Oryzias latipes: one gene and its partner. The protein of the gene in region 2 purifies or fractionates together with the protein of the main gene of each other region. This does not show direct contact. Links are inferred from orthologs where the notes say so. Each region holds a gene or a part of one and is shown on either strand. Other genes may lie near its edges.

Region 1 (15,560 bases), on a different chromosome or scaffold from region 2:
CAACAAGGTTTTGAAGCAGAAATCCATCTGATCTCTTTGTGACCTGAATCTCTGCCTCTGCACTGAAGCATAACAGATCCCCCACAGACGGTCTCAGTGTAGAGTGGAGGAATGTGAACTATTTGATCATCTTGATACCAAATGTTCTGCTTTTAAAAGGATGACCTTCCACAAACATCTCCAATGGTATCCTGCTGTTTTAGCTAGAACAAAATTCTCTCTCCCAAGCAGATCTTTGCTGAAATCTGGCTCTTTGGAAGTCAAATTTCCTGTTAATCCACCAGGAATTGGAAACTGACTCTGGAGCAACAAACAAAAGTGGAATTGAAAACAAAAGTTTCCAATTCCACTTTTGTTTGTTGCTCCAGAGTCAGTTTCCAATTCCTAGCTGAGAGGTTTTGAAGTTTTTTTCTTTCCTAATAAAAGCTTTTTTTCTGTAATCACATTTAAGGCAATGAACTGTGCTGGTCTTAAAACTGCTTGTATTCTCTCTTCAGGCAAGCCTTCAGAATCTCCAGAACCTACTTCAGCATGGTGCTGCTGGATGAGCGGGGGCTGGACCGTGAACGCTTCATTACTCCCGTATCTCAGGAGGAGCTGTTCTCCTACATAGACAGCTTCCTGCTGGATGAGGAGGAACGCGAGAGGCTGGACCTCCACAGAGACTTCTGTGACTAAATTCAGAGTTCTCAGGCTGAGGAGGAGGACTGACAACCAAAACCCAGATCCAAAGATAGATTTGTAAAAAATATTTAAAGAATAAACGGGCTTTTCTGATTCAATGTGATCACAAAACACAGAAGAGCAAATACTGAGGGAGATTCATATGAAGAAAACGATTAAAATATGCTGAGATATTGGATTTTTATAATTTACACTTGATGACTGATCAAATATGTAAAAACAGCCATTTTTACTAAAGTCGTCCAGCGACTCTCACATGTCAGAAGTTAAAAACTCTTCAGGATTCAACACAAAAACAGAAAAGGACAAACATTTTCAGGTGGGAGTGAACACGACTCTGCTAGTGCATTTACTCTGTCCCTTTTATTGGGTGAACAAATCTTTGAGGTCAGTGTGACCTCCATCACATTGTAAAGACGAGCTTAAGAGATCAAATGTACATTTAAAATCAAGAGTTTCATTTACTGGCTTTAATTCAACTTATTTATATACACAGATCATTCACGTCAGTCCTAAAGTGCAATTGTGTTGGATTGAACAAAGGCACAGTTCGGTTACAGCATAGAGAGAGAGAACTGTTCTGTGTTCTGGATACAATAAAAAGAAGCAGTGAGGCAAAGTGGATCTAAAGTTTGGAAACTTTAACAAACACAATCTGGATTTTAAAAACAGAAATAAACTGAGTGTGGTGATGCTTTGGCACGTTTCTCAACAGTCTGAAGTCATGGAACCTACAGAGAGGTAGGTCTTAACTCAGCATATCCAACAGTGGCGGTGGCTGGTTGGCATGAAAGCTGGAAGAAAGCCAGAACATCAATTTGGTCTCAGTTTCTGCACTTTTCACTTCTCATCACTTTAGTGTCTGGATCTCTTAGTGTTCAGCCTTCATTTCCCCTTTGTCTTTGCCATGGTGGAGCGCAGAGGAAGAGTGCCCTCTGCCCACGAGTCAGGGTACTGCATCATCTTCTGCCACAGACTGACTTCCTCTCCAACAGAGTCCAACTCCACCTCCTCTTTCCCAACTTTGATAGCTCCTGCAGAGAGGAAGGTAATATTGAAGGAATGCATTTTCTACTCTTGTGCTCACACAAGAATTGGAAAAACTTTACTATCCACAGAACAGGAACTAAAGATAATGTGTAAACAATACATTTTTAAAAAGTATTTAACATTTTATCATTTTTGTCTTAATAAAGTCACCGCTCCTGTGTCTCTGTGAGCGTTTGTCTCTGTATTTGCTGAAATGCTGTGGAGCGTCCTCAAACTTTTTCCTCATTGAGGCGATAAGAGTGTTATGTTTATACCGTTGCCAGAGCTGAGGCGGACACCTCCCAGTAATTCATTGTTCAGCACGGCCTCTTTGTCCCACACTGTCAGCTCCAAACACATGTCCTTCATCTGCTCCAGAGTCAGCTCCTTATACACAAATGTGGAATCATAGTGGGGATTCAGGTTCTTCTTCACCACTGGAGTCTTCATCTTCGCCGTCTTTGCCTTTGATGGAAACAAGTGACTGTAGAGCCACACACACCATGTTAGTTGAGCAACAACAAACAAAAAGAGATGTTCCAAAGCAGACTCCATCCTTTACCCTCTAACAAAACTGTCTGATGTGCTTCCAGATTTTCCTGACTTCAGATTTTTTGCCTCCTTGATGAGAACATGCAGCTCTCCTCTTTGGACTTGTGCAGCTTTTTTGCCTGAAGGAAAATTTAAATACTTGAAAAAAAGGGGTAAAAGCTTTAATAAAATAAAAAGACAGAAAATACATGTTTTCAAAATACCTTTCACTTTTTCAGTGGTAGTCTTATTGGGAGGGACATACTTCAGTGAGATGACCAACTCTCCACTGCACCGTTCAAAGGCTGCATCTGGTACATCAGAGCTCATCTGTTAGAGAAGAAAACATCATTACGAAGCAGTAGAAACATCAGAATGGTGACAAACGCCATCAAAGGATCACTTGGGCTGACAAATCCACGTCTGTTTGAATGACACCATAACAAATTCTGTCCACTGCTGCTCAGTAGAAACAGTTTCTTCTACAAGGTAAAACTGATTTAACTTCTCTGATGATATTTTATTAAGTTGTTTTAGATTTTGTTACACTTATCAGATGTTGCATTGAATCACACATTGAACATTCTAATCTGAATAATACTAAGACTTGTTCTGCTGAAAAAAAACTTTTTGGTATAGACTGACAGGCCTGTAAATTCCTCTGCCCTGAAACAAACAGATACACAGTTATTTAGGGACCAAATCCATTATGATCAATAATAATAATGTTTAATTTACAGACAAAGAATCTAAATTTAACTGAATTACATTTGTAATCTTTCGTAAAATACACTTGTTGTCTCACACACTCCTAATTTTTTAACAAAATACAGACAGCGCAACTCTTTACTTCAAAGTTTACTCCAGATTAAAAGTTATTTTTTCCAGATCTTAATAAAAAGGTCTTTCAAATTAAAATGACAAGTACAGTGTACAGTGTTCTTTCATTTATCAAGGGAGTTAGGTTGTAGAATGAAACCAAAGATCATCTTTATAAGCTTAATTTATTCTGTACTGCAAACACACAGCAAAACTGTGATAGGTGAACCGCGTTCTAGCAAGGGACCACTGTATTTTAGATAAGGTTGGGAAATCCTCTGACTGCCTTTTCTATACTCTGAACATTAGGAGGGGATCACAGCTCTGTTTGCACAGCTTCCATTTTAAAAGTAAAAAGAAAAGACAACTTGGTTAGTAATAAACGTGTAGAGTCTGACCCACCTTCCCCATGAGGTGCAAACATTCTTCATGAGGAGTGTCCAGGTTTGCACTGTCCAAAGGGATTGTCACCTCCCCCAGGAAGACGTTACGGCTGAGGCGGCCATGATGCCAAACGGATATCGACACAGATTGGCCGAGCAGTTCAGAGCGGCTCATGGAGTACTGTTGAAAAAAAAAAAACAACATCCATGATTGAAGGCTCAAACAAACCCAAGCCAGTTTAAATTAATCAGGACTGGGATTCAAACTTATTAGAGGATGCATATTGATGGTTTCACATTCCATTGACTTTTTAATTTATTTATTTTTTTATCAGTCTATGCATTAAAGTGACTTCAGTTTATTTATTTGGAGATTTGGAGGTCAGGGTTAGCCAATCACCTTTAGAGTTTCACTGAAAACAGGGTTGATGGTGTTTTTCTTGATACTGGTCTTCTTCTTGTTTTGGCGAGTTTTGCCGTGGAGCAGATAACATTTTACATAACTGAAAAAAAGAGAGCAGGTCAGAGAAAGCTTCTCCTCAACATGATCGCTAATCTTCTGCAGCATTTCCTGACTAAGTGCTGAGAAAGAATTTCTGTTGACGTTTAACTTCCTGTGAAGCTTTGCTAATCACCCCTGGGATGCAAGCATGCAGACTGTAAACACAGCCCCTTATCTGCACTGATCAAAGCTGTGCTAACATTACTTGGGGGTGTGTTTTTACTTGAAAATGTGTGGGTTTTTTGCTTTTTAAAAACACACAACCAGCACAGCGGCATGATGTGAAAAATCTCAGTAAGGTCTGCTTTCGACATTCAGCAGCTTCCTGTTACAGCTATCTCTGGAAGGAGTAGAATATTTACGGGTTGGACAGCTTCCGTGAGGCGTCACCGTGAGCCAGACCCTGGCACTCCTTGATGAAAACCTGCAAGCTCTGGGTGTGCTCGTCGTATCGCAGAGCAAAGACAACCTGCCCGCTCACCTCCACGGTGCCATAGTCTCCTGCATCGCTGTAAATACTCATCGTGCTGCCTAGCGAGCTCTGGGTGAACAAAAGGGGAACCATCTTTGTCAATGCTAAGACTTGAGCAGACTTTAGCTAGAAAAAGAATTAGATACAATCTTAGCATGACAGACAAAAAATCATTTAAATGTACCCAAAAAAAAAAAAACACTAAGCGCTTTCAACATCTCGTCTACATGTTTATTACAATCATTTAAATATTTCAATTTCTTCACCATCTTTAAATCTATAGGGTTTTATCAGATATTCCTATGAACAGATAATAATAGATTACTACGCTCATTTCCTGAAAAAAAGAAAAAACTATGAAAAATGTAGAAGCGGCAAGCAAAAATTATAGCATACCTCATAGTTTATTTCCTGCAGAAACGCCTTCAGCAAAATCTGGATGAACTGTTTTTGTAAATGTTTGCTATGCTTAAAAGAATCTCCATGAGGTTTTCTGGATGATTTAGATTTGTGTACTTGATGCTTTTGCATGAACAGCTTTTAGCAAAGCAAGTTCGCTCAGATTGAAGCTTTTCTGTTAGTCTACATGCAGACAAGCCATTGGCTAAAGTGAGCCTCAACTCCCCACTGCATTGCCCAGCAGCTCTCATCTAAGGACTGTGCCTTGGTGCCTTTATCTTATGTGTATTTAATGTTTCTAAACAAAGTGGGATGCTGTCTACTTCTGACAAACCTCATTATCTCTCCTGATATGAGGTCCCTGCCTGACTTCGTTTAGTAGTTTCTGATCAATCGTCTTTGGCTACGTTCACACTGCAGGCTGAAACGACCCAATTCTGATTTTTTTGCCCCTATGCGACCCAATTCCGATCTTTTCATGACAGTCTGAATGACACAGATCCGATCTTTTCAAATGCGACCCAGGCCACTTGGGTTTGCCGTCCTGAATCCGAAACGTATCCGATCTTTTCAATTGCGACTGCCGTCTGACTGGCCAGGCCACCTAAATCCGAATCGTACGTCATCGATACGCAACAAACGTCATCATTCTGCGTTGAAATAGGCGGGAACGAGAACGTAAACAGCAACCACGGCGGACGATGCTGCAGAGACCAGTCAGTGGAAGGGAAGCAACGTCCCCGATTGTATTAATATTTGGGGTGACAGCACTTTTCAGGCCAAACTCCAGGGCTCTTATCGCAACCGGGCGGTTTTTAAAAAAAAATTAACAGCTAAATGGCCGAGCGTGGTGTTGAACATTTTCTCGCGAGTACTTTTTTTTTTTCCTTTCTCCCCTACCCGACCGTGGTCAGAAGCGCGGGGGACCCAAGGCGGATCCTCCTCCTCCTCCCTGTTCTGACCCATAGATTCTCCAGGATTCTCCGGAATGGGTTAATAAAGAGTCCATAGCATTAATTCTGGGGGAAACCTCCTTTTATTACCGTTGTCCTTCCTCCGTAACACACAACATGAATGCGCGCCCACACTGCCGCCCCCCCCATTCTCTCCCACTGCACGCGCTCTTTTCCTGTCCCTTACACAACCGCGCGCGCGCGTGGGCCCAATACATTCCACAAAAGTGGTTACAGACGATCCCGCCTCCAATGCCTTCTTAAAAATGGGAAGATTGTTATTGTGCTGGCTCCTTTGTGAAAATAAATTTATTAATGAAAAAAGAGCTCTGCTGTTGACAACACTGTTGTTGACATCCATGTTAACGTAAGCTACTTCTGCAAACAACGAGTGACGTCATTCGACGTCGAGTACTCTTCTGCGCATGCGGGTCAACTCTGGGTTGTTTCACGGTCACACTGTAGATCACAAAAGTTCGGATTTACTTGGAAATGTGAACGGTCTAGCAAACAATTCGGATTTTTTCAAAAAATCGGAATTGAGCATTAAGCCCTGCAGTGTGAACGTAGCCTTTGTCTCCAAAACTGAAAAAGTTCACTTTTAGACAATAATTTAAAACAATATTTACGAAAATGCTTAAAGATTAAATAAAGCTATTGCATCCAATAAGCTAAACTGTTGATCTGTTGAAAAAGTAATACCACACAACTGTTCCCAAAAATATTATTGTAAATTCCACAGGCAGGCCGCTGACTTTTAAGATTTCAAAATAGACAAATGTTGTCAACAGATTAACTTTCAAACCTGCAACTTTACGAGCTGGGAGAAACTTAAGTGGCGTTACCTTTGAGTTGTAGAGGTTGGAGTGACTTTTAGTCATTTGTTTTTTGTGAAAGTTTACCAAGGTGTCAATATCTTCTTCCTCCTCCTCATCCTCCTGTGGAAAACAAACAAACTAAACTAAACGAATAACGGTGGCATTTTACCCTAGCAAAAGTAAGCCTTAAATAAAAAAAGGAAAACTACTTAAAGAAACAAATAAAAACGGTGGTCAAAAGAAGAACAAAACAACGTTTCAGAAATATATCTGCTGGAAATGAAGCGCTGTTTCCTTTTTCTACATGTCCACCTGTAAATCTAAGCCTGGAACGGAGCGGCTCCTCTTTCCCATTGAGGCCTCCGGGTTGCGACATCCATCCATAGAGTCCACTGTTGATGCAAACCCCCCAAAAAAGAAAGATCAATAAAAAAATGTTCATTTTGTAATTTGGCCACACATGTTGAAATAGATATACAGACCTGCAGGTGTTTGAGTTCGCTTCATGCTCTTCTTGAAGAGTTTTTCAACATCCAGCTCAGGGCTCAAACTGACTGGCTTTTCTTCAACCAACTACAATTGAAGGAAAATAATATAACTACAGTAGAGGAGAAATTAATTAATAATATATACTAAAAGCTTTTCTTACAGCTATAGGATTGGAGTTGCTGCTGTCAGTGCTGACGGCATCTGCTGTAACTGGGACAGACAAACTGGGAGCCCTGGATGGTGTTGGGCTGGAGGCGTTGGACCGCTGCAGTTCTCTGATTTACAGAATAAATGATCAATAACATGAAATTAAAAAAATATACAAAATCTCTTTTATAACCCATTTAAAAAGCATGACATCTTTACCATCTCTGCTGTAATTATATGACAGTTTAATTAATAATTTAATGAAATCAACGTAAAGTTGGGACGTCTCAGGAAAGTTTGTTTGGGTCTTAAGCTTAAATTGTTGATTCCAAGAGTCAGAACTAAACAAGGGAAATCAGCGTTTCAATATTCTGCAGCTAAAATCTGGAACAGCCTCCCTGAAGTCGTAAGACAGGCCTCTTCTGTCTTCATGTTCAAATCTAGACTTAAAACGTTTCTGTTTAGCCGTGTATATGACTGAAAGGTCCTATCTGCACTTTTCTTTCATTTCCTTCCTTTCTTTTTAAATCAATTTTCAATTTTTTTTCTTTTTTTTTTTTAAAGTAAATTTTACGTTGATTATTTCTATGATGTATTTTGATTTTAATGCATTTTTCTGTTTTGTGAAGCACCTTGAATTACTTTGTGTACGAATTGTGCTATAAAAATAAACTTGCCTTGCCTAAATTTGTGTCTCACATTTGGCTTTAAACCAAACCAAATATTAGTTGAAGGAAAAACAATGTAATTACAGTGAGAAGTGATGAAAAGGCTGAATATGGTTATTAAATCTGAGTTTACCCTGTCTCCTCAGGAGTCACACAACCAGATTCTGTATCAGTTCTGATGCTGGTGACACTGCGGTTTTCTGCAGACTCCGTGTCGCTGCGACTTGGCTTGGAAGAAAAACTTGTTTTTGATGAAACGCTGGTCTTTGATTCACTTGACTCCCTGGAAGCGATGGATCCAAGCGTCTCGCTCGAATTGCTGTTGAGGAGAACATAAAGAAAGTTGAAACATTTCTTTTTCTCGAGAGCCTGATAAAGAAGAAGCAGCACCTTTTCTTCTGTCTGGGAACAGGAATGGGTTTGGGTGGATCTGGATTTTTCTCAGTACTCTCTAGAAGCCCTTGCCCAGTCGTAACACGCTTTTTAACTGAAACAACACACAGCAACAAACGACAAGACATGTTCACAATTGTACTTTCAATAAAGTGGAATAAATCTATCACTTTACCACATGTTTTCATAACAGTGGGCTGGCGAGCACTTCCGGCTCCTGGACTCACATTGCGGCCTCTTTTTCAGGGAAGCTCTCACGAGGTCAAGTGCAGGAGTCATGGAAAAGCGGTTGGCCCTTTGATCATAAAACCAGTCGCCTGTTCTTTTCTTCACATCCCTGGAATTCCACACATTTAGCTTATTAAAAAGATCCACAATAAACAGAGCTTGTATAAAACTAATTATGGTGTTGTAGATATTGATACATAATTGAGAGGTCACTATGAAGCATTAAGATCAGAAAGTAGAAATAGTTGGTGTTAAACTAAAAAAATGAAAAGAAAAAGGGAAAGTTGTGGAGTGTTTAACCTTTTGTTTCCAATTGTTAAAATCTGTAAAGAATGAATACTCTGCAGCATTTTCTCTACCTGTACCAGTAAAAAGCCCAATGTGTGTTTTACATTCTTTCTTTTTAAGTTGAAGCACAAGTTCCAACTGCAAGACAAGTGAGCACTAATACATTTCTGTGTTCAGATGTGAGATAAGTTATGAAAGATCTAGCACTGTTCATACCACAGGTTTACAGAGTACAGATACCAAAACAAAGAAATGCCTTCCACATGCCATCCTCGGTGCACTATCAGTCAGAAAACCTGTTTGATGACTGCAAAAACCTTTTAGGCATTGTTTGTGAGGTCCAGCAAGTGCATGAGACATAAAATATGCACTGACACAAATTGATTTATCTTTCAGCAGACAGTAAAAATGACTGATTTCTTCTACAGTATAAAAGGTCCCAATATGGGAAATATTTCTGACCAAAACTAATTCGACAAAAACCTTTGCCATTGTGTGCAGCTCATTGAAGATGTGCAAACCATTCTCAAGCTTTTTTTTGTCTAATTGAATTAAGATTTCAGAGAAGTTAAAGTAAAAAAAAAGTACAGACAGATAAAAAAATGACCCCACTTAATCCAATCCAGCACAAATCATAGATATAACTATGTATAAAAGGACATAATGAAATTAAAGCAGACTGCAACTGTTAAAATTGAGTCAACTTTTAACTCAATATATTATATTTAATTTTATTTGTAAAATCAAAAGGTGCTTTGTTAAAGATTTGACTTATTTTTTTGGCAAAAACACCAACTGTTCATCCCCTTCTGCCCATAGCTGCCATAACCGGACAGCGTGAAACTTGTGCAGAGAACTGAGCAGGGAAAAAAAGCTACTATAGGAGTCACAAACAGTAAGGAATTTGAGTATGTTGAGGGACATTGATCTTACGATTCTTTGACACACACGGTGCAGAACCACGACCCGTCAGGCAGGACTGCTTGGCAGTTGCGGCACACGTTGTGTTTGCAGATCTTACACTGGCTGTTAAAAACTGCCAGCCGACTTAGAGGTTCCTGGCATCTGCCACAGCTGTGTTCGCTGTACTTTCCACTGCTACGTTTGGCCCCTTTCCTCTTTACTTCCAATAGCTCCGTCTTCAGCTTCCTGAGAGCAAAAGCACAGATCACAGCACCGTCAACACACAAAGACTTTTACAAACCAATTACAGGCATACATGTCAACTTCTTAAGACTTACACTGTTAGAAATTCGGTTTTTGGTGTTTTTAACATGTTCTTGTGGTATTTTTCGAATGATGGAGGACATATATGCATAAAACTCAGTTTAAAAATGGAATTTCAGAGTATTTCTTTATTCTAATCATTGGGAATCAGGAGCAGATGAAAAAAGTGCTGTTGGAAAAGAGCTCATTGTGATGTAGAGAAAACACATGGCGAGTCACAAGCTTCTTGATCCGCTCCGTTCTTTTGCATCCACTTATAGATGAAAAGATGTACGTCTTGGTTTCCTCGTCTGAGCTGACATCGGACTCAAAACTGCACAGCTGAATAGCTCCAATATTGCTCAGCATTTTTGTTGCAGAGCTAATGTTAGGTAGCACCCAGGAGAGTGTGTAAACAGCTCAGTTATAGGTGATGGGAAGGGGGCGGGGGTAACTCTGCATCAATGGTCCCACCCACACCTCTCAGGCAAATTCACAAACGCTTTTACAATGGATCAAAAGATGATCGCAGTGGGTCTTTAAAAATATAAATTCTACTGCTCCAAGACTCACTCAAAGCACATCTAAAAACTTTTATGGGTTTTAAAAAAAGGGCTTCAATGTTTTATTTAATGACAAAAAAGATATTTGAAACCAGAGAAACGATTTCTTAAAAAAATTGAAAAATTTCAAAATATAATCCAGATAAATCCCAGATAGTTTCTACATCTGTAGCCCGGAGGAGAAGCTAAGAAGAAGGCATTTCTAAATTTAAATGTGCTTCTTTCTTCACTCTGGACAAGCCCAGATCCGCTGTGGAGGTGAGTATGTGTGCAGCAGAAGTTACCATGGTGATATACCCTGGTACGACATAGTGAATCATATTGTAGCTGGAAAACTGGGCTGAGATCTGGAGATAGTTTGGTTAAATCCCAGATCCTGATAGTGGTAAAAACCTGGAAGTCTTAAATCTTTGAATAATAAAGCAACAGGTTACTTGAAGAAACACCATACTAACTAAAATGCAGGAGAACCTGCTCAGGAACAATTAATTCAAACAAGCATCAATCATGCCAATGTCTTTAAAAGAATTATCCTAAAATCAGCAAAGAGCTAAAGCCATTTATCCAGGATGAAGAAGACGCTTTCCAAGTACATTTACTACACTTTCTGGCATAGATGAAACAATAAACATGTCAGTGTTATTATTTAAATAAATAACTTCATAAAATCCAAATTCTCTAGGAAATCCAAGAGCTGAAGGGTTAAAAAAAAGTATCTCTTAACACCAAATTGATCTTATTTTTTTACTTTAGAAAAAAGTTTTCAGTTAAAGTTCCCCTCCAATCATCTTTTGATCTATTGTAAAAGTGTTCCCAGAGGTCTTATAATTAATATTATTTATATTTTTAGATAAAACAATCTAAAAAAAAGACTTTTTATAGGACATTTTTTCTGCAGCGCGGCAGTAGTTTATTAGAAATTCACCTCTGAGTTGTGGGTTAGACTCTTGGTGGATAGTAAGCCTTCACTCATTTCCCATCACCTCTTCTGTTCACACTCTCTCCCACTGGCTTACAGCCCTTCACAACCTCAACCTAACTTTACTGGTGCTACGAAAAGACGTTAATGGATATAATTGTCTACAAGTGGATGCACTGGAATGGAGCGGAGGAGAGCTGCAATGACAAGCTCTTTCAAACAGTGTTTGTTCTTCTGCTCCTGAATTACATTGATTTGAATAAAGAAACTTTAATCCTAATTTCCTTCACATATGCCTCCATCATAAGAACAATGCTCCAAGAAAATGTAAAAAAAACAAAAATGAAGATGTTCATTAATCTATTTCCATTAGAGTGGGTCTTCTAATAATTTCTTACACTTGTTTTTCTAACAAAAAAGTGCTTTCAAACGTTTTAAATGTGAGAATTTTTAGTAATAAAAGTTCCATATTTGTTTAGTTTATATCAGTTGTTGTGTGAAAACTTTTTAAAAACTAAACAAAATTGGGTTATATAGAAATTTGATTAATAAGTATTAAATCAAATCGCATCAAATTCAAAATCAAGTCAAAAGTTATCGAAGCGATGTCAAATCAGTTCAGTATTTTTGGCAGTGATGCTCAGTCCTAGTCATGCCTTAAAATATTTACATGTGTTAAATGTTTCAGATTATAGAAACTGTAAAAACGAATAAGAGTTTCTGTTTTCTTACCGTACACGCCGCTCCTCCGTGAGCCTCAGCTCCTCGTCCCGTTTCAGCACTTCCAGGATCTTCTCCCGCTCCAAGTCGGACAAGAAGCTCAGATTGATCATTTCCAGAGCCATGGCGATTTCAATTAGGAACCGTGTGGATAAACTGGTTTAAGGCTAAAGCCGTTCCACTGAGACAAGATCCATGAAGAGGAAGCCACAGTTTGGGAAGACAGCAAAAGCTGAATCTGTGTTTAGCCTTGCAGAACAAACCCAAAAAATATAAAGTCACATATTCAAGTAGACCTCCTTTAAAGGTTAAAATACGTTTGCCAAGAAATTAACATTTTCACATGACATGAGACATAAATCTGCAGCTGTAAAGCAAACTATCAACTATTCCCTGATGGGTGGGAATACAGATCCAGCATGTAGGGGCGTCTAAAAATCCACCAGAGTGCCTCTGACGGGGAGTGAGGTCGTTTAAAGTCAACCATGGTAAAACAACATGAATGTCATGCCTGGTTCCCACCCTCCAGCAGAGAGATGACAGGGTGGAGTTCAGCAGTTTATTTATTTAATCTTCATCTGACAGTGATCATCTGTTATGGTGTCAGTTAAAACTCATATAGATGTATAAACTAATTTACAGTGAATAGGCAAAGACACAGACTGGAAAGGCTTTTTCCTCGTTTTCTGAATGCCTGAGCCTCACTAAAAATAATAATGTACCAGCAGGACAGCAGGAGGAGGAGGGCAACTTACAATTGAACAGGAAATAACACTAAAATTCAAACGAGTTTTTAAAAACACATTATTGAGGCCATATTTTATTTTTCAACTGAAAATGACAAATGTTTGCGAATGGCTACCTTCTAAATAATAATTAGTTTTGATAATAATCACAAATTAAAACAGAATTGATATTTCGACTAATGAAAAAAAAGCATCGTTTGATGTGATTTTCAACGAGTTGCTGAGGCTAAATAGGGTAAACGTCGATAAAACATTTAAAATACTTGATAACCTACGTTGTTCTTCAGGGCGGTCGCTGAAGTGAAGGACCTCTGCGGACTGCCACCGCGTCAATGAGTCCACACTCAGGCTAATTGAGAGGAAACGCACACCTGCGTGCGTGAAGAAGAAGCTCGACGGCTCTGCTTCACCGCGACCGACAGAAACCGCAGCAAACAGCGGCGCACATGCTAATCCTGCACTCAAGTGTCGTGGAGCTACCACAAACTACAGCACAGCGCTCCTCCTCTTCTTCTACAACCATACCCCCTTCCAGCCAGGTTGTCTCCTCGCCTCCGGGAGCAGGGAGTTCGGTGCGCGCGGCGCCGCAGGAGTCCCAACAAGTACCGGAAGATGAAAGGAAAGTTCCCAGCAGCAGGCGGGCGCGAGCGCTTTTCCACGACAGACGCGTTTCCTTAACTGTTGATCAGAGAATGTGGAAAAGTCACGAACACCAGCTTGATTGGTATCACCCCCCCCCCCTTTATGTGTGACCAAACTTGGAAAACTTTTATTTTTAGCTTTAAATGCGTTAACCCAGAGCGAACAAGAGTTTTAAAGTAAAACGTGTTTTTTTTTTCTAAGTCGGAACAGGCCATTCTTGTCGCTCTTTCTTTGGAAGGTGCCATTATTATTTGTTGAGGCGTGTTTGGGGGATTAACGCACCATTAAGTAAACACTGCTCCTTTACAGTTAAAACTCTGCTGCCCCACTTAAAAACCAACTAGTCATTTATTTACTTTTTAGATGTTTTAAATTGTTGTTAGACATCACATAACGCTTGGAAATAAGTGTGTTGAATGGTTGTGATGCTCCTGTGAATCACTTCCCCACTCATTTGTATGTTTTCCATGATTTCACATTAAAAATTAACATGACTGTTCCTGCTAATAGACGCAGCATAATAATGTGGTGCTTTAATTGCTGAGTTTTAAGACCACTAGTCCTTAGCACCTCCTGACAAAGAAAGAAACTCTTTGCTTATTGTACAAAAATACAGTTCTAATTTGGTTTAAATATAGTGTATTTTTCAGGCTACAAATTGTTCTGGAGTACAAGCTGCAGCAGCCAAAAAGTGGACGATAAAGAAGGAACAAAAATTATAAATAAGTCACAGTTCAGGATAAGCTGCTCTTCTTTGAGAAACGTAACAAAATACAGGAACAAGCATGGCCATGTTATTTTGAAATCATAACAGAATAGATTATTTTATTCTGATTACACTCTTCATTATTGTAACATATTGATGTTTATTTAGCTTCGTGAAACATAAAAGGAATCCAGTATATTTGCGCAAAATATAAACAATTATTACCCACTTCAATGAAAATTACATTTTGGGTGTTTTTAAAATTTTCTGGTAGCATTTTTCTCATGATGGAGGATGTAGACCAAAGGTTTGGACTGTACACACAAAGTGTGTCCAAACTTTCGGTCTTCACTCTATATAAAGAAAATTACGCTTAAAATTTGTGATTCTGAGTATTTAAAAAAAAGTTAAATTGTGAATTAGGAGCAGACGAAAAAAATCTTGTTGGAAAAGCTTGTAGCAGTGATGTAGGTAGTTGGCAAATTCCCGGCCCTGCTCCATTCTGATACATCCACTTGTAAATGACTAGATGCATGTACATCTTTGTTTGTGGCTGGATAGCTCCAAATTTGCTCGCCATTTTGGTCACAGCAGTTGGAGGTGTGAGGGGCTGTGACAGAGTGTAAACAGATGGATGATGGGAGTGTGGGAAGGCTCACATTGCACCAACGGTCCAGTCTATAACTTAGAGGTGAATTCCCGATAAAACTCCTGCAGAAACTATGTTCTAGGAAACAGAACTTGTGATTTAGGCAAAAAACGGGATCACCCTAATTAAAAACACTGGGAACGCTTTGAATTTAGATCAAAGGATTATCGGAGTGGGATTTTAAGTTTTTTTTTAACAAGTTAAAAAACATTTGGGTGTTAAAATCCAGATGACCCTAAACATAACCTACAAAGTACACATAAAAGCACACATTAGTAATTCAAAAAGGATACAACACAGCAAAAGTGAAGCAGTAATGTAGAAAAAGGCCCAATAATCGTTTAATAACTGGCTTGATTCCTATGTGAGTGTCAGCATATATAAATATTATTGATCGGTTATCATTAATATAGGTTCTATAGGATAGCTTAGTATTGTGGTTGTTTGATCATAAACAAGGGAAACCACGTGTTTGATACTTTAACTGAATCTAGACTTTGCAGGTAAAACTACATAAATGTTCTGATTAAAACACATATGAGTCTTTACAGAAGCAGTACAAACACACACAGTGGATACAAATCAAGAGAAAAGGGAACATGTTGG
Region 2 (15,572 bases):
GACTGTTGAGACGTTTTTTCTTTACGACTTCAAAACCAACCAGTCGCTGAGAGGCTGATGCTGGGTCCGGGTTGAATGACGCGCTCAAAAACCAGGAAGCATAATGACGTTTGTATTATGAAGTTTTAATCCACTTGTTATATTGTGATCAAAAAAAGAGAACAAACAAAGAATTAAAAAAAGCACAAAAGTGAAAAAAAAGCCTAGAAAGCAGTCAACAAAAAATACGGCAACCCAGCTCCCCCCCCCCCCCCCCCCCTTCCATTTTACACAGGGAAAAACCACAGGCGAGTTAAAATCAATTAATGTCACCGCCCACAAACATGTGACCCACCAGCTGATTGCCTACTCAATGGCCTATAATCAAAACATAAACAAAAAATAAAATTCATTCACCCTAACAAAAACCCAAGTTAATTCATGGCACCTACAAAGACCATCTGTGGCCCCTGCAACAGACTGGTCACCCTTTCAGGGTGAACCTCACCTGACTGTAGCAGGGACAGGCTCCAGCAACCCTGTGACCCTGAGAGGGATTCAGAAGACGGATGGCTGGATGGATGGATCGTCTCTGGCATGAGTCAGTTTTCCTCTTCAGGGATCACCACAGCGAATCAGCTTCCTCCATCTAACCCAGTCTTCTGCTTGCTCTACTCCAACGCCAGCTACTTTCATGTCTTCCATCACTGCTGTCCTGGAACACTGCTTTGCAGTCACTGCCTCCTCTCCTTCTTCCACCAACTGTAGTCAAATTGTTGGTGGTCAGCACCGAAAGCAGGTGCTCTCTTCTTGAACCTACAGCCCATTTTTCTCTGGAGATGGCTCCAGTTCAGGTTCTGTGTCAGACCCTGACCCAGCCTCAGTTCTTTGGTGTCCCACCATCTAAGCACCAGCTTCTGGCTCACAAAACTTGTTCTTCACAGAAACCAGTTTTTTTGACGGCCACAGTGAAGAACCACTTCAGACCGATTACATCTGTGGTGAACTGTGGGGTTTACCTGGGTTAAACACTTGGCTGTGGATCCTGCCTCCGGCTCGTCTCGCGCCCCCGGTTGTCCCCCCAACTCCGTCTGGATGAAGTTCATCTGCTGGACTTTAACCCTTGTGGTATCTTAGATGACCCCACCCTTGCATTGACATGTTCTCCCTACCATGACAAAGGTGGATAAAGGTGGAAAGATTTCATGTAATCCATGGACACCAGTGAAGATCACAAATCATTGAAGAAAAAAGGTTCAGAGCACTGTCTAGTGGGTCTAGATGACCCCACTCCCAATGTCAACGTGCCTAGGATAGCACAAGGGTTACCCATGTAGTTGTAGATTTAGATAAGTTAATTCTTCTCTATGAGTTCTGGTACATCGCCTGTCCGTCCTGGGGGAGGATCCCTCCTTCATGTGGGCACCCCTGAGGTTTCTTTGTTTTTCCAGAATCCATTTTTTTTGGGAGTTTTTCCTGACCGCGAAGGGGGGTCTAAGAGCAGGGATGCCAGTTTCGTTTAGTTAGTTCAATTTAGCTTTTTCTGATTGAGTTCTATGTACTCATGATCCTTTTGATTTTATGTTTTACTCTTTCAATTACCGTTACAGAGCCAATCCAGACGACTGTTGTTGGGAATTTGGGCTATACAAATAAAATTGAATAGAAATGAATTTTTACATGAACAAAGTTGGCCTGAAGATGAGATGGAGTGGACTTTTGACCATGTGTGATGGTCAACGTAGACATCCAAGTTATAAACGACGACCTTGTTTATTTCCTCTTCCAGAGCTGTCCTACCCTCTTCCTCTCTGCAGACCACGGCGTGTCGGACGGTGCAGTAATGTGGTTCTGACTTAGGCTTGTGTCTGTGGAAAACAGGCTCTTTAGGAAGCTTGAGCAGATCCAGATAAGCACTGATCCGGAACCAAATGAACTTTCGTGAGAAAAGGATTTTTGAGTTCCGTTTGTGTAACCTGTCAGTGAGAGCCTCTCGCTTAAGGAGCTTCCTCAAACCCACGATAGTTCTTTGGGTTACAAAGAAAACAAAATCAAGATCATTCACCGTTTGCACCAAAATTCACAGGAACTTCCTTCGTCACTTTGCTGTTGGAACCGGTTCAGACTGTAATTTGTAGCAGTACGGTCACTCTGGACACTAAACTGTGATGGCGGGAAAAAAATGAAACACATAAACTTCCCAGATTGCTGTACAAAGCCACACACCCAGCAGCCGTCCAGCCTGGGCTGTTCTGGCTCTCTGCAGGTCCAGAGTTCATGCTGTGCAGGACACCTTTACTTCTGCAGCATTCCTCAACCACCATTACTGAATGTCTGCATCCTTTCTTCTTCTTCCTCTTTTCTTTTTGCTTTAACCCTTTCTGTAAGTCCTGACTAATTAAAAAGAGAACCCCCACCATTCTGAATCCACACTCATGTCTCTATGGCAGCATGAGGCGGTTTAGTCCTGACGGCGCCTTGATGTTTGGACACTCGAGGTCACACATGAGGCAGTTCTTTAACTCTCCCTGTGATCCACATCTGCAGCACGAACACTCCCAGCACGGAGCTGTGCTTCTCTTCACAATGCAGCATCGTACACATAACATGCCTGCAGAGATGCCTGGTTTCCATGACAACTAACATGGGAGCCAATAAGAATTGACTGAGTGATTAATTGGGGTTGAGTAGTAAGTTTTTCCACACGTTGTTTACTGTCAGTGAGTTCTTCTGGAGGTAAACACATCAATGAGGTGCTATTTTAGTTATTAGACCAATAGTAAATACTCGATTCTCATTGGCTGCTGGGTGTGCATTAAAAAGTGACAATGCACAGTGATGATGCACGCCTAAAAAATAAGTTCCGGTCACATAGCTTACATGTTCTGTATCACTGCGCCAGCTTCTTTAAAAATAAACTTTAGCTTCATTCTCTGGACAAAAACAAGCGGTAAGGGGTGAACTTTCTCTCTGAACTGATGCTTCATTTAACCCATCATGACCTTCAGCATTGATATATCGCTTTATACCGCCAGACCTTGACTGCAGCAGTGGTGTGGCGGGTTGTCACGTTACCGTGACAACGCACCACGTAACAAACACTCTGCTTTATGAGAAAGAAATTGATCCAAACTGTAATTCTGGACTTGCAGAATTCTGATAATGCACACTTGGGAGGCCAATGACCCTTACTCATCTCTGCGCACCAAAAAAGATCCATGTTTGCAATAATATCAACAATTCAAAGCAGAAAAGCAACACTTTGTTAGTTTCTTCCACGGGTTCCTGCTCTGACAGAATCCAACCCAACACTTCTTTTGTCTGAAACAAACCCTTCAGGATGAACGCTGAGCAAACCAGCACTTGACCCGCTGCAGAGAGGAAAGGATTCCAGCACAACATGCAAACCAGACTGTAATCTTTCTGTACTGGGCTGGTCTGAGCTCAGTTGCAGAAACAATGGAAGGGACAGTTAGAGAATCCAGACAGTGGGTCCTGCTCCTGAACTGCAGTAGCAAATGAATGTTCAGAAAAAGGAGCACAGCCACTGATGCTGCAGTTTGTCGTTCAGGATAATAAAACAAACATCTTCTCATTGAGCACACGCTTTTTCCAGGATGGTGCAATTTAAATTTGAATGTGATTTTACACTAAAATTCCGGATAGGTGTTCTTTATTTCCATGAATCTTTCTATTTTTCCTTTTGCTGTGAGCTCCAACACATTTAACCAGAGTTCATGGTGGAGTTTCCAACGTGAGACAATGGCTCTTTTCAAAGAAACAGGTTCCCGAGCTTTTAAATTTTTTCTGTTTCCTTGTTTCACTCAAGGTTGCAGGAATGAGTGAATCTAAAATGAGGTCACTGAGAAGAGCAGCATCCACTGAAGGCCTCCTGCAGGCTTTGACCATGCTGTGCAGATGCAGACAAGATGGATGTTTCCTGATTCATCCTTAATTACAGTCTTAGTGTTATTTTTTTGCATTGCATTTATCATGGACTTTGTTTCTAATTGTTGTTTTTGCGTGAAGTGAATTATTTAAATGATAAAACTCTTGGGTCTTATCTGCTGCTGCGTCTAAATGATTAAAAAAATTGCTAAATGTCAGAACCGTTGCTTTGAGCCTCCACCTGTTGAACTTACAGGTAAACTGAAAGTGGAGAAATATGGAGGACGTTATGACCCAGAAGAACATTTTCGACTTCAGTTTGTATCGTGGAACTGCAATTCTTTTCCTTTGGTGCATTCACTTACTGTGGGAATTACTAGTAAACTGCCATTTCTGATGCAAACATGCTTACTATACTGCACCATTATTGGCTTTAGCAAAAAATAAATAAATAAAATTAAATAAAAGTTTTCTCTTTGTTTTGGAAATTCTTTAATTGACATCCAGTTAGTTAGAGTTCAGGTGAAGGAGCTGCAACTACACTGTGGACATCCAGTCATATCAGTCCCATTTAAAGTAGACCCAAAGGAAAACATTACCTAATTTAAATATTTAATGTAATTCTAATATTTTCTTTACAAGGTTTTTCTCAATGTCAGATGACTGCAGTGTCTCGATCGATATATTGTAAATGTAAAATGTTCTGTAGAATTATTCAGATAGTATACTTTCTACACTATGCATCCATGGTCTGTAGTACACTATACTTATACTCAAGTATACTTAGAGAAATCAAGTGTGCTACATTTTGCTCAGGGTAGTGAAGTCATTTTACCAGTGAATACATTGTAGTCAGTCGTTTGTTTTGTGTCTTGAGAGAATTTCATGTCAGTAATGTCTTTGTCAGGACTTTAAAGCTCATTTTGTTCATGCAGTGACTCCGCTCTCCTCCTCAGTGTGCTCTGACTCCTTTTTTTTTTAAATAAACTTTATTGCACATTATGCCATTTTACAAGGATGTACTTTTAGGTATGCAATAAAAAACACAACTGCAAATATCAAATACACGTCTGTAACAAACAGAAGAACAAGAATAGAGATAGAAATAAATAAGCCAAGGGGTTAAACTCTACGAGAAAATACTGAATCTATCACATACAGACAATGTTCTGATTGCTTTTTGCTTCTCTGAATTTCGAATACTGTTGATATACTGATTTAATTCAGAAAGGAATACAGTGAGACAGGGTCTTCTACCATAAATTTTACTTTTATGAACATAGAATTTGGCCAAAATGAGTAACAAATTTTGCATATTTTTTGATATTAGACCCAACAAGACATCTTTCCAAAAAAGGACAAAACAAGAATCAATTTTATCATTAATAAAATCACACATCTTCTGCTAAAAAACCTTAACTTTGGGACAATACCAAAAAAGATGGATAACTGTTTCAGGGGGATTACAACCAAAACTACAGTGTGTCAATGTTTAATTTAAATCTGGTTTGAGTGTGCTCTGACTCCAAATTGAGAAAATTAGGGTAATCCCGCTCTCCGTGAGGTCCGTAAAAGCACCGCGGGCGTCACGCCCCCCCTCCCGGAGGAAGCAGAGCGGCGTCCATCGGACTGGTCGGCCTCTCAGAGGGACTCTCCCGCTTGTCGTCAGCCGGCACCCCCCTCCCTCCCTCCCGCGCCGTCTCAGCCCGGTGTGGGGGCCTGTGAGCGGACTCTGCCTCCGGTCTGGACCGGGGGGAGCGATGCGACGTCTCGGAGGCGGAGGAGAGGAGTCCGGGCAGCAGACGCAGCAGACGCCTGAGCGCATCTGAGGGGCTTCTTCTCGTCACAAAGCGGTGAGTCTCGCAGGAAAGCCGGTTGCGGGTTCGTGTCCGCAGCGCTCGGAGGTTCGGCGGCGGATCTCCGCGCTCCCCGTAGCAGCAGCAGCAGCAGCAGCAGCAGCAGCAGCAGCGGCGGGGATGAGTCATAGCCCGGCCGGCGCGGGGCTGCCGGACAGTCTGCAGCCGCGGCGCGTGCGAGGCGCGCCTCCTCTGCGCTCCGGCTTCTGCGGGAGCACGCGGTCTGCTGAGCGCGTGAGGACGCTGACGGGACTCAGGAACGGTTCTGGTTCCGGAGCGACTGCTGGCTCCAACAGTTGCAAACTTTGTGAGGGTGGGGGAGACGGAGGGAGTCTGGAGGAGAAGCTGCAGCAGAACTTCTCCTGGAGGAGAATCCTCAGCACCTCTAACTTTCTCACTCCTTGTCCTACCTGCGGTTCTGCCGAACTTCTGATCTAAAAGACAAAAAGGATCGGGCAATTCTTTACTGATATGTTGTAGACAGTCAAGTGAAGGATTCACTTGTCTTAATAAATAAGCAGGAAAAACTTTTCTTATCTCTGAAACAATGTTTTCATCATTCTGTCTCCTTCATTCAATGTTTCCTAGTAGGACATGACATGAGGGTCATACATTAGCTCACCGTTAAATCAGTCAAACATGGATTCTGTAGATTTTGTGATCAGGATTTGGACCAGTTTCCTATAAAAGGAAACTAAACATAGTTTCTACATAAATAAATGAAAAAAACACTGCTGCTGCTTGGAAACACATTTGCATTTGGGTCGCCTCCATATGGAAATCAGGTTTGCACAGTTTTGTCCCATCACAGGCCGGGATCTGGTATCAGCTCACATGCTGCCGTCCTCTCTGAGCTGCCGTACTTGTGGGGCTTTGGTGCCCACAACCCTTAACAAAAGCCTGCTGACACTCAAGTCTTTTTGTTGTTGTTGTTGTTGTTGTTGTTGTTGTTGTTGTTGGTGTTTTGCTTCCTACATCATATTAATGATTGGACGGTTGGCCAGTGCTTCCACACTTCGGCTGGAAAATACTGAAAATGGATAATAAGATGAATCCAAAGCAGGAAAGAGGGTGCCAGTCTGGAAACGGGTCACAGTGACACATCGCTCATCTGCAACCCAAAAGAATTAACCAACATTAACGCTTGTGCGGTCTTGTGGGGTCCAGATGACCCCCCCCCCTTCCATTGACATGTTCTCCCTACCATGACAAAGGTGGATAAAGGTGAAGAGATTTCATGTAATCCATGGACACCAGTGAAGATCACAAATCATTGAAGAAAAAAGGTTCAGAGCACTGTCTAGTGGGTCTAGATGACCCAACTCCCAACGCTCACACAAGGGTTACGAACTGAGCTTTATTATCCGAACTTTATCCGCATTATATGATAAAATTTGGATCTTATTTAGTCCTGTAAACTCATTTGTTGGATCCTCTGATCTAGGATAATAAGGATATGTGGAATATTCTGGAAAAGCACCTTAAGGATTGGAGAGGAGGGTTAAACCTGAATTATTCTGTGTTTTAGCACATAAAAACCTTGTTTACTGATGTGCTGGTCACTTTAGGAGTTTACAAATGTTCCTGCAGTTCTGTCTCCAGGTTGTAATGTGGTCCTCTAGAAATCTAAGCTCTGAATGACTAAAGTGGCTCAGATCAAAGCTCCACAAAAATAACCTTACCCAGAATAATTTGAATTTATTTAGAAATATCTTCTGGTTGTGTTCAGATTAACTTTGGTAGATCTTTGAAGGCGTTTAGGAAAAAGAGAAACACAGAAGCTAAGAAAGTTTCTAGACTTTTGGATATGAACTAAGAAAACTCCCTAAGTCAGGATATTGTTTGAACTCAGACATTTGGAGATGTTTAAGCTCCTTTCCACCGGATCTTTTGTAGAGCTGTAGATCATTAATAATAAATTCCAGAATGGATTCGATTCACAAGAGCCCGGATGATTCAGAATCTGTGGAGACGACAAGCTCATACAAATCCCATTTTTTTCTATTCTTTCGATCAACTCGATTCAATTTTGACTTTACACGATTGAATTTAAACATTTAGGTATGTTTGTATAGAAACGCATTAATATTCTAAATATGTTTTGAAGGTATTCATATTAATAGAACACAGTTCACATACTGTAAAATGTACGAGTGAAATAATGATCTAATGAGATTGTTAACATGCAGTGTTGCGTGTTTTTGAAGAACATTGTAAAGGCTCCAAACTCGCTCATGTTACAAAAATACATGTTTCGCTTCTCCTGGGGGGCTTTCAGTTAAACCACTAGGTGGCGCTCATGCTATAGCATTTCACTTTAGTCTAGAAGATTTGACCAAAAACAGTGATTGAGACCACAAATGGTTAATTTTTAAAAAATGTTTCCTTAAAATTTAAAGCGGTTTATTTAGTCAGCAATGTATGTTTAGGTCTACCGAGCGTTAGCATTAGCCGTCCTATGGGAAATTCCATTATACGTTAGCATCAAGCTAGCAGACTTTGGCTCTACTGCTGTTATGTATTAAATGAAAAGGAAAGGCATAAAAGATTCTCTACTTTAATGGATCGATTATTGATCCATTAAAGTAGAGATCGATTCAGATCAATTTATCAATTTTATCAACCGAACCCAAATCTTTTGGTCTACAAATTTAAACAAAGTTGTTTTTTCTGATAGTAGGCATTTTAAGTTAAAATGTCTGAAATATTTTCACTTTTAACTAGCGGTGTGACGATTAATCAAATTGATCGAAGAATCAATTTCTATTCCTGTTATTCGACCAGATCGGTCTGTCTGACACATCGAATCATTTTAAAATGTGAATGGATTTGACATTCATTCTAGTTTACTCGTTTGTTTGGACCCATATTTCATCTACACTTGATTATCTTAAAGAAACCCAAGGAATCTGGAAAACCTCACTGTTCAGAAGCAGGAATTTCTCTCTGAGTCACACTGGTGGAAGTTTGGATAAAGATGATCTGGATCCACTTTAGGTCGGTGAATCGGATCGTTCAAAAAGACTTGATATAGACGGAATCAAACCGTAAACCACAGATGAGTGATATGCATAGAATTGTTGTTAAAATGAATCGTTACAGAAATACTTTAAGGTTTGAATGATACTGTCTTTTCACATTAGCAGGCAAAGCCAGGAAGAATAAAAAATGGAATCTTTGAGTCTAATTTTAAGACACTGTAGATAAATGTGATCAAATAAATATGTGTTGATTGCTGCTCCCCCTGAAGGGTACATGGGGAGATGGGACACACCATTGGTGGAAGGAAAACTCCAGACTTTTCAACAGAGACGACATACTCATTCAAATCCCTTCTGATGGGAAAAGAACAGAAAAACACAGTTTTCCACGACCCTAAAAGAGACTCACTTACAGAGAATAACCCATGGAAGGAGTCTGAGAAGCTCAAACAGGCGAGCCCACACAAAGGCTCCTTCTTCCTCTGCTTTTCTATCAATCCTGGACTAAGACGTCGGCGTGTTTCTGGGCTTTGATTTTGAAAGAAGTAGCTGCTGCAGCTTGTTGACTTTGTAGATTTGTAGACTTTGAAGGAAACATCTTTGTTTTTCTTTTCACGCCAGTCTCTTCCTTAAATCTACATCCACGCATTCTGGAAAGAACAATTGGGGAAAAACTATCATGGCAACAGAGCTGTAGCTGAGTGAGTGGAAGAGTTTCGCCTGTGATAAGTTGATACAATAGACGTATAAACACAGGACAAAATGATAACTCCTGTCGCCTAAAAGACTCCAGATGCTGTCATTAATGGAAAAGAAAGCAGACGAACCAGTCTTTGAAACTAGACTGTTAATATTTTTATTTTTGGTGTAAAATTGTTTTCGTTAGCATAAGAGGTATTAGGGAAATGCTTTGGAAGCCAGCCCCTAGTGCCTTTTGAGGAACTGCAATGCTTTGTATTTCTAGATTTTAGTCAAATTTGGGAATTAAAAGTGAGAACTTGGTTCTAACAGATGTTGAGCTGAAATGAGAACAGCTGGGAATTCAGTGGTCCCTCGTACAGTCTGAGTTGTTCCATACATAACCTGCTGTAGGTGAAATCTGCAAAATAGGATTATAGATGTTTTAGGGCAGTTAAAGTCCTCACTACACACTTTATAGAGTTTTCTCAGACAGACAAACATTTTCACACTTTTTACTCTTTAATCAAAGTTTAAACCTTTATAGAAAAATATTTCCAGTATTGGAGAATGAAAACAAAGATTTGATTGCAATCAGATTTATGCAAATGTCACACGCTGCACATATTTGTACAGGAGACACGGCACGGAGGAGATTTATTGACAAGATCATCTGCCAAGCAGGACACAGAAATTTTGCACTTTCTAAAAAAAAAAACATGCAAAGTCGCGCTGAAAAAAAACCCACGAAGCAGCAATACTACAAAAGTTGGGCTGTGATAGGGGAAGGCATTTGCATTTGTTTGGTGTGTGTGCATTTGTGTGAATTTCAGCTCCTGCAGAGGTCCAGCCCCTCCACTGCTGCTGGCCCCCCCTCCAGTAGAGCTGATTTGAGGCTTTCATCCCACCAATCGCCAGGCTGGGAGGGAAGTTTAAAAGCTTCCAGAATCCCCTGCTCCAGTGGCGGCTGAATTCCTGGGAGGAATTTCTTTTTCAGCCGCTGCTGTCTGCCTGTGGAAGCCTGTGACCGCCTATAATTAGTTGTTTATTTTCAAGGGTCATAATTCCCCTGTTAGATTTAATCTTTGGTTGCATTTTGAGTAGTTGTTGTGTTTTGGTGACTGTGACGACGTTAATGACTACATGGTACAAAAATAAATGTTGTGCCTCTCCTGGAGGGCGTTTCAGTTTGGCCACTAGGTGGAGCTCACACTATAGCATTACACTTTATTCTAGAAGATTATAGCAAAAAACTGTGATTTGAATGGCGTAAATGGTGCTTTTCTACCTACAAGGCTCAAAACGCTTTACAGTTGCACACATATTCACACACTGGTGGCGGCTCCCCTGCCGAACACAGGCGCCCACCTACAACCAGAGGCAAGGTGGGGTTAGTGTCTTGCCCAAGGACGCATCGACTCATGGGTGTGCAAGGCGGGAATCAAACCTGCATCCTTACGATAATGGGTTGACCGCCCTTCTGCTGCATCACGGCCGCCCCACAATTTAGACCACAAATCTTTGCTTAAAACTCGTTAGAATTAGTTAGAATCAAGCTAGCAGACTTTGGATTTGCTGCTGTTATGCGTTAGGTCAACGGAAAAGGAAAGGTATAAAAGATCGATCTGTACTTTTATGGATCATTGATTTACTACGCTTGGATCAATTCATTGATCTTTATCAACCCAGACCTTGTTTTTAGTATCCTTGTTTTTTGTTTCACCCTAATAAACGTCTGTGTGGAATACTTACCCCCCAGTTTATTCAAATTCTTTGTTACTTCTGTTCTCCCTCCTCCCAGGTTAGAATCATAGCATAAGTGGGGGTAGGATCAGCTGTTACCTTGGGTGTCACTTGAGGGTCGATGTGCTGACATGTTCTTCCCTCTTGTTTCTGTACTTGGTACCCATTTCCTCCCTCCTCCCCAAAGAGGGATGCAACGACGACATATTCCCTCAATTTCCCCATTTTAGAAAAGTAACTGATGTTATTTGACATTGAATGGGCCCAGAACCAACCAACAAGTGGCGTCACACTCCCCTGTGTTCATTCCTTTAAACAGACTTTCAAACAGCTGGTAAAATTGGCCAACACCTGGAACACCTTGATCTGCTTTTGCAGTAAATGCAGCTGAAACCATCTTCAGAGGCGTTCATGTTGAAGCTCGGCGCAGTCATCAATTCTTATTAGCTCATTTTTAAAACCTTAGTAACCCCTACAGCTACAGCCACTACGGTCGCTCAAAGCGACAACATAAAGCGTTTCAATCATATGCAGGATGGAGGCATCGGTATCATCAGACGTTTGGATGATGCTTGTGTCAAAGCGGTTTGAACTGTGCTGGAAAAGCTGATAATTAATGAAGTCTCAGAGGTTTTATAGAAATGTGGGAACTCCTGAGGATAAGCCCGCTCTCTTCGTTCTTCCTTCCTTCCTTGTGTCTGGTTCTGTGTTGTTTGCTGAACCACAAAATGTTTTTAGCACTAAACATTTCAATTAGAATTTAAAGGTTTCCTGATTCCAGCCGTGTTGCGATAGGTTGTGATTCTGTTTGGGGGGAGAGGCTGAGTGTCATTTCTACATCAGTGCTTTTGGGACTGATCTGCAGTTATCATGGCGGCCCAGGAGATGATTCAGCAGTTGCCATGGTAAAACTGGTGAAACCTAAGGCACCGACCGCTGTGGTTTAACTGAGGAAACCTGCTGCACGTGTGCTCACGGCTTTGCTCTGATAATTCTGCATGACCTTTCGGCTTAAAGGTGGCCTTTCTAGCCAGTATGCCCTCTTCCTTTTGGCTCTCTCCATCCTCCGCTAACCCCCTGCTAGGTATTGACCGGCAACAGCAGGATTCAGCTTCCATAAGAGGATTAATACACAGAAAGTTTCCACACGGATGAGGACGACCGTCTGCAGTCACACTCCTTTCAAAGTCCCGTGTGGACTCTCAAGAGGACGTGCTGTCAGGAGAATTAACTTTCCGTTCCACTGAGATTTCTTGGCAGGAATAATATTGAGTTGAAGATCGAGAGCCGGCTCAGGCCAGAAAAAAAAACCAACCTGATTTTCTCTGAGCTCATAGATTCACTGGCAAACAGAAATCTGTCTGAGCCAAGAACAGTCTGGTTTTTTCATTAAATAACCCTCAAATAGTTCCAGGTTCTCAGCAAAGATCCTTTAAAAGAGAAAAAGAAATTGTCAGAGCTGCATATTTGCACATGCCAGTTAGCAGAAGATGGGTGTTTTTGAACATGTTTTTCTATTTCAACTTCAAATTGCCTGTCTGAGAACCGTACTGTTGTGAACCAGGAGCAAATAATAGAAAAATGCAGTTTGCAGAAGCTTGTATGTGCGACGTAGACGCTCCATTCTGATCATCCACCAGCAGACCAACAGATCCACGAACGTCTGTTTTCCTGGTCTGAGCTGGAATCTGGAGCTAAACTGTACGCCTGGATAGCTACGATATTGATCACCATTTTTGTTGCACCGCTAATGTTAGCCTGGGGGTTTGAGGGGTTGTAAGCTGGTGGGAGAGCTAGTAAAGACATGGGTGTAAGGAAGTGGGGGCAGGTTTACTGCAAACAAGCAGTCCTGCCTCAACTCAAAGGTGAATTTTTAACTGTTCTGCAGAAACTATGTCCTTGAAAACGACACGTTTAGTGATTTTTGGCAAAAAAACAACAAAAGAAAACCGCATAATCAGAATAAAAAAACCACTGGGTATGATTTAATTATAGATCAAAAGATGATCTATTGGAGTTTAAGCTATAAAATAAAGTGCACAAAGACAAATGCCAGATCAAGTTTAGGACTAAGACTTTGTTTTGCACATGCTCAGCCTCTCCCTATGTTTTTTCAGGTTCCATGAAACGTAAAAGAGTAGAAGTCTGTTGGCTTTTGCCTTGTTTGCAAGTCTCACCAAACATCTTTCAGAAGATCTTTCAGCTTTTTGACAAACTCCTGAGATCCCAATTTCAGCCTGGCTGAGGCCCACATTAGTTTTATTTGGAAAATGTCATGGATTCTCCCATCATTTATACATTTAGCTTTCATTATTCACTGAAGACGTCCATTCTGCTTGTTCTTATTTATCTATGATTCAGCTGCAGCATGAAACTGTCCACAGTCATGTTTGTGGTATTTGGGCCATCAATGTCACCATGGTGATAGTCTGGCCTTAGGATTTATGTCATGGATTCTGTACGTTTATTCATCCGTCACTTCCAGAAAAGCCATAAGCCATAATATTTTCAGCGAACCTTTCCCCTTCTCAAATAAACATGACCGGTGAGAGCTGTTTGAATGCACCGTAGGACTGAACTTAGGCCACTTGATCTGCATGTGTTGTCATGAAGCCATAGAAACCACTTTGAGATGAGGACCGCCTGTCTCACTGTCCCACACCGTAAAGAGGACGGGTCGTTCTTGACCCTGTGTACACAATCGTTTGGGATTGTTGTTGTGAGACAGAACTCTAGTGCTTTTCTAGAGAGGAAATGACTTTCCTCACAGCAATAATGATGGATAATTAGGCAGTTTGATGTTCATCCTTACAAAAACCAAACCAAGTCGTCTGCAGTGTGATGATTAGACGCTGTCTGACACTTTGACTGTGGGGAAGCACACAACTCGTGTGATGCTAAAAGACGTGCCTAACCCTAACCCTAAAATACAGCTGCATTTATGAACTGTGCTCATTTTTAAATGAACTTATAAATGTCAGAAACTTTTGTGTTGTGTGTAAAGCTCTCCTACAGTAGAAACTCACAGCGTGAAAAGATGTTTACTACAATGCTTTTAAATGGGTATTTTTCTAGTAAAATGCTTTATACTAGAACTTTAACATGTGCTGTACTTTGTTTTTTGGAGTGCAAGTTGCGTTTTTTTTGTGCATAGTTTAGCTAAGGGGTGCAACTGACATGCTTTTGATAAATAGCAACGATCGTTTGAGGACATTGTAGGCGTCTGTATCAGTATTTGTTACTGACAGCACCGCAGAACAAGAAGCATCTGTGATGATCACAGCTGGCAGCTGCCCCCCCCCCTGTGCATTCACCTGGTTTCACAGCTGTTTTCAGTTCTGATTATGTGTCAGGTATGTAAGTTCCTGTTTTTGTGTTTTTCAGTGTAGCAGAGTCCTGTTTGTTTGCAACTGGATGTTTGACTTCTGTGAATCTGAGTAAATCTGTGACCGTCTACTTTTGGTTTCGAGTCATTCCTGCGTTTGGGTTCCTCTGGTCTTGAGTCGTTACAGCATCGCCTAGTTTTATGGCTGGCTTGGCGGAATTGTTCTGAAGTGACACAAAGGATGAAGAAGTGATTTGAAATGATGTAGAGTTTAGATGCCCTGTTAGCATGTTTCTGTTATTGTTATAGAAATAATTGTTCATATGATATTCAGGATTCCTCCTATGTTTCATGAAGTTGAATAAGCGTCAGTGTGCATACATTCAGTCTGTTATTGTTATTTATTCAGTAATTTGCTTTTCAAGATGAAGTTGCCGTTCTTGGTCAAGTATTTTGTTAAATACATTTCTCCCAAAAGTGCGACTTGTACTCCAGTGATACTTGTATTTGATTGTGTTTATTTATTTTTCCTCTTAGTTATGCAGTGAAAGAATATAATATCCTTGCATATTTATCTTCTGCTTTAAACAATTTAGCGGAGAGAAATAAGAGCAAGCTGAAAAATGCAAAAATATTTTCATTAATTAACATTCTCCTCTGTATCCAGCAGAAGAAAATATACATCAGAAAATAAAAAGTACACTTCAGACAGAAAAGTGACAGTTTAAATCACTCACTCCTCAAGCAACATTAAGTCTATTGTCTCTTTTCAGTCAATCAGTTTAGTCTGCAGTGATTTATAATCTGAAAAATATATTAATCTCAAGCATTTTGCTTGTTTGGTCATATTTTGCTCTTTCTTTTGCTTCAGAAGTTTTAAAAAGTTCAGCTAATTTTACTGGAATTAGTGAGATGGATCAGTGAAACTTTTCATGACTTAATCCAAAAAACGCATCCCTGGTTTTAGACTCATGATTTTGATGGGGACCTCCTCTTGAGGCTAGGCGACTCCCCTCGAAAATGGAACCGGAGACCTGGGACCAGGGGCATCTGGTCCTCTCTGCCTCCTGGCAATACGCCTCCAGGAGCCGCATGTCCTTCATGCCCGGGTAGAGGAACTCG

What was found.
Region 1: the proteins of rab27b (region 2) and sytl4 purify together in Homo sapiens (co-immunoprecipitation; 3 studies listed by BioGRID and IntAct, counting the BioPlex papers as one, with this or other methods). This does not show direct contact. The link is inferred for Oryzias latipes from reciprocal best matches to the Homo sapiens genes RAB27B and SYTL4.

The regions. Positions count from the first base shown.
Region 1 is NC_019868.2:10,075,112-10,090,671, reverse strand, and holds sytl4 (synaptotagmin-like protein 4), read right to left. Parts: upstream 13,650-15,560; 5' UTR 13,233-13,649; intron 12,461-13,232; 5' UTR 12,337-12,460; coding exon 12,224-12,336; intron 9,953-12,223; coding exon 9,737-9,952; intron 8,625-9,736; coding exon 8,515-8,624; intron 8,382-8,514; coding exon 8,285-8,381; intron 8,214-8,284; coding exon 8,028-8,213; intron 7,355-8,027; coding exon 7,240-7,354; intron 7,164-7,239; coding exon 7,073-7,163; intron 6,983-7,072; coding exon 6,903-6,982; intron 6,711-6,902; coding exon 6,618-6,710; intron 4,490-6,617; coding exon 4,311-4,489; intron 3,950-4,310; coding exon 3,847-3,949; intron 3,628-3,846; coding exon 3,466-3,627; intron 2,575-3,465; coding exon 2,469-2,574; intron 2,385-2,468; coding exon 2,276-2,384; intron 2,198-2,275; coding exon 1,989-2,197; intron 1,719-1,988; coding exon 1,570-1,718; 3' UTR 1,029-1,569; downstream 1-1,028. Other genes in the region: sushi repeat-containing protein SRPX2, read left to right, coding at 498-678. UniProt on the Homo sapiens protein: Modulates exocytosis of dense-core granules and secretion of hormones in the pancreas and the pituitary. Interacts with vesicles containing negatively charged phospholipids in a Ca(2+)-independent manner.
Region 2 is NC_019870.2:28,272,754-28,288,325, forward strand, and holds the start of rab27b (ras-related protein Rab-27B), read left to right. Parts: upstream 1-5,461; 5' UTR 5,462-5,720; intron 5,721-15,572. UniProt on the Homo sapiens protein: Small GTPase which cycles between active GTP-bound and inactive GDP-bound states. In its active state, binds to a variety of effector proteins to regulate homeostasis of late endocytic pathway, including endosomal positioning, maturation and secretion.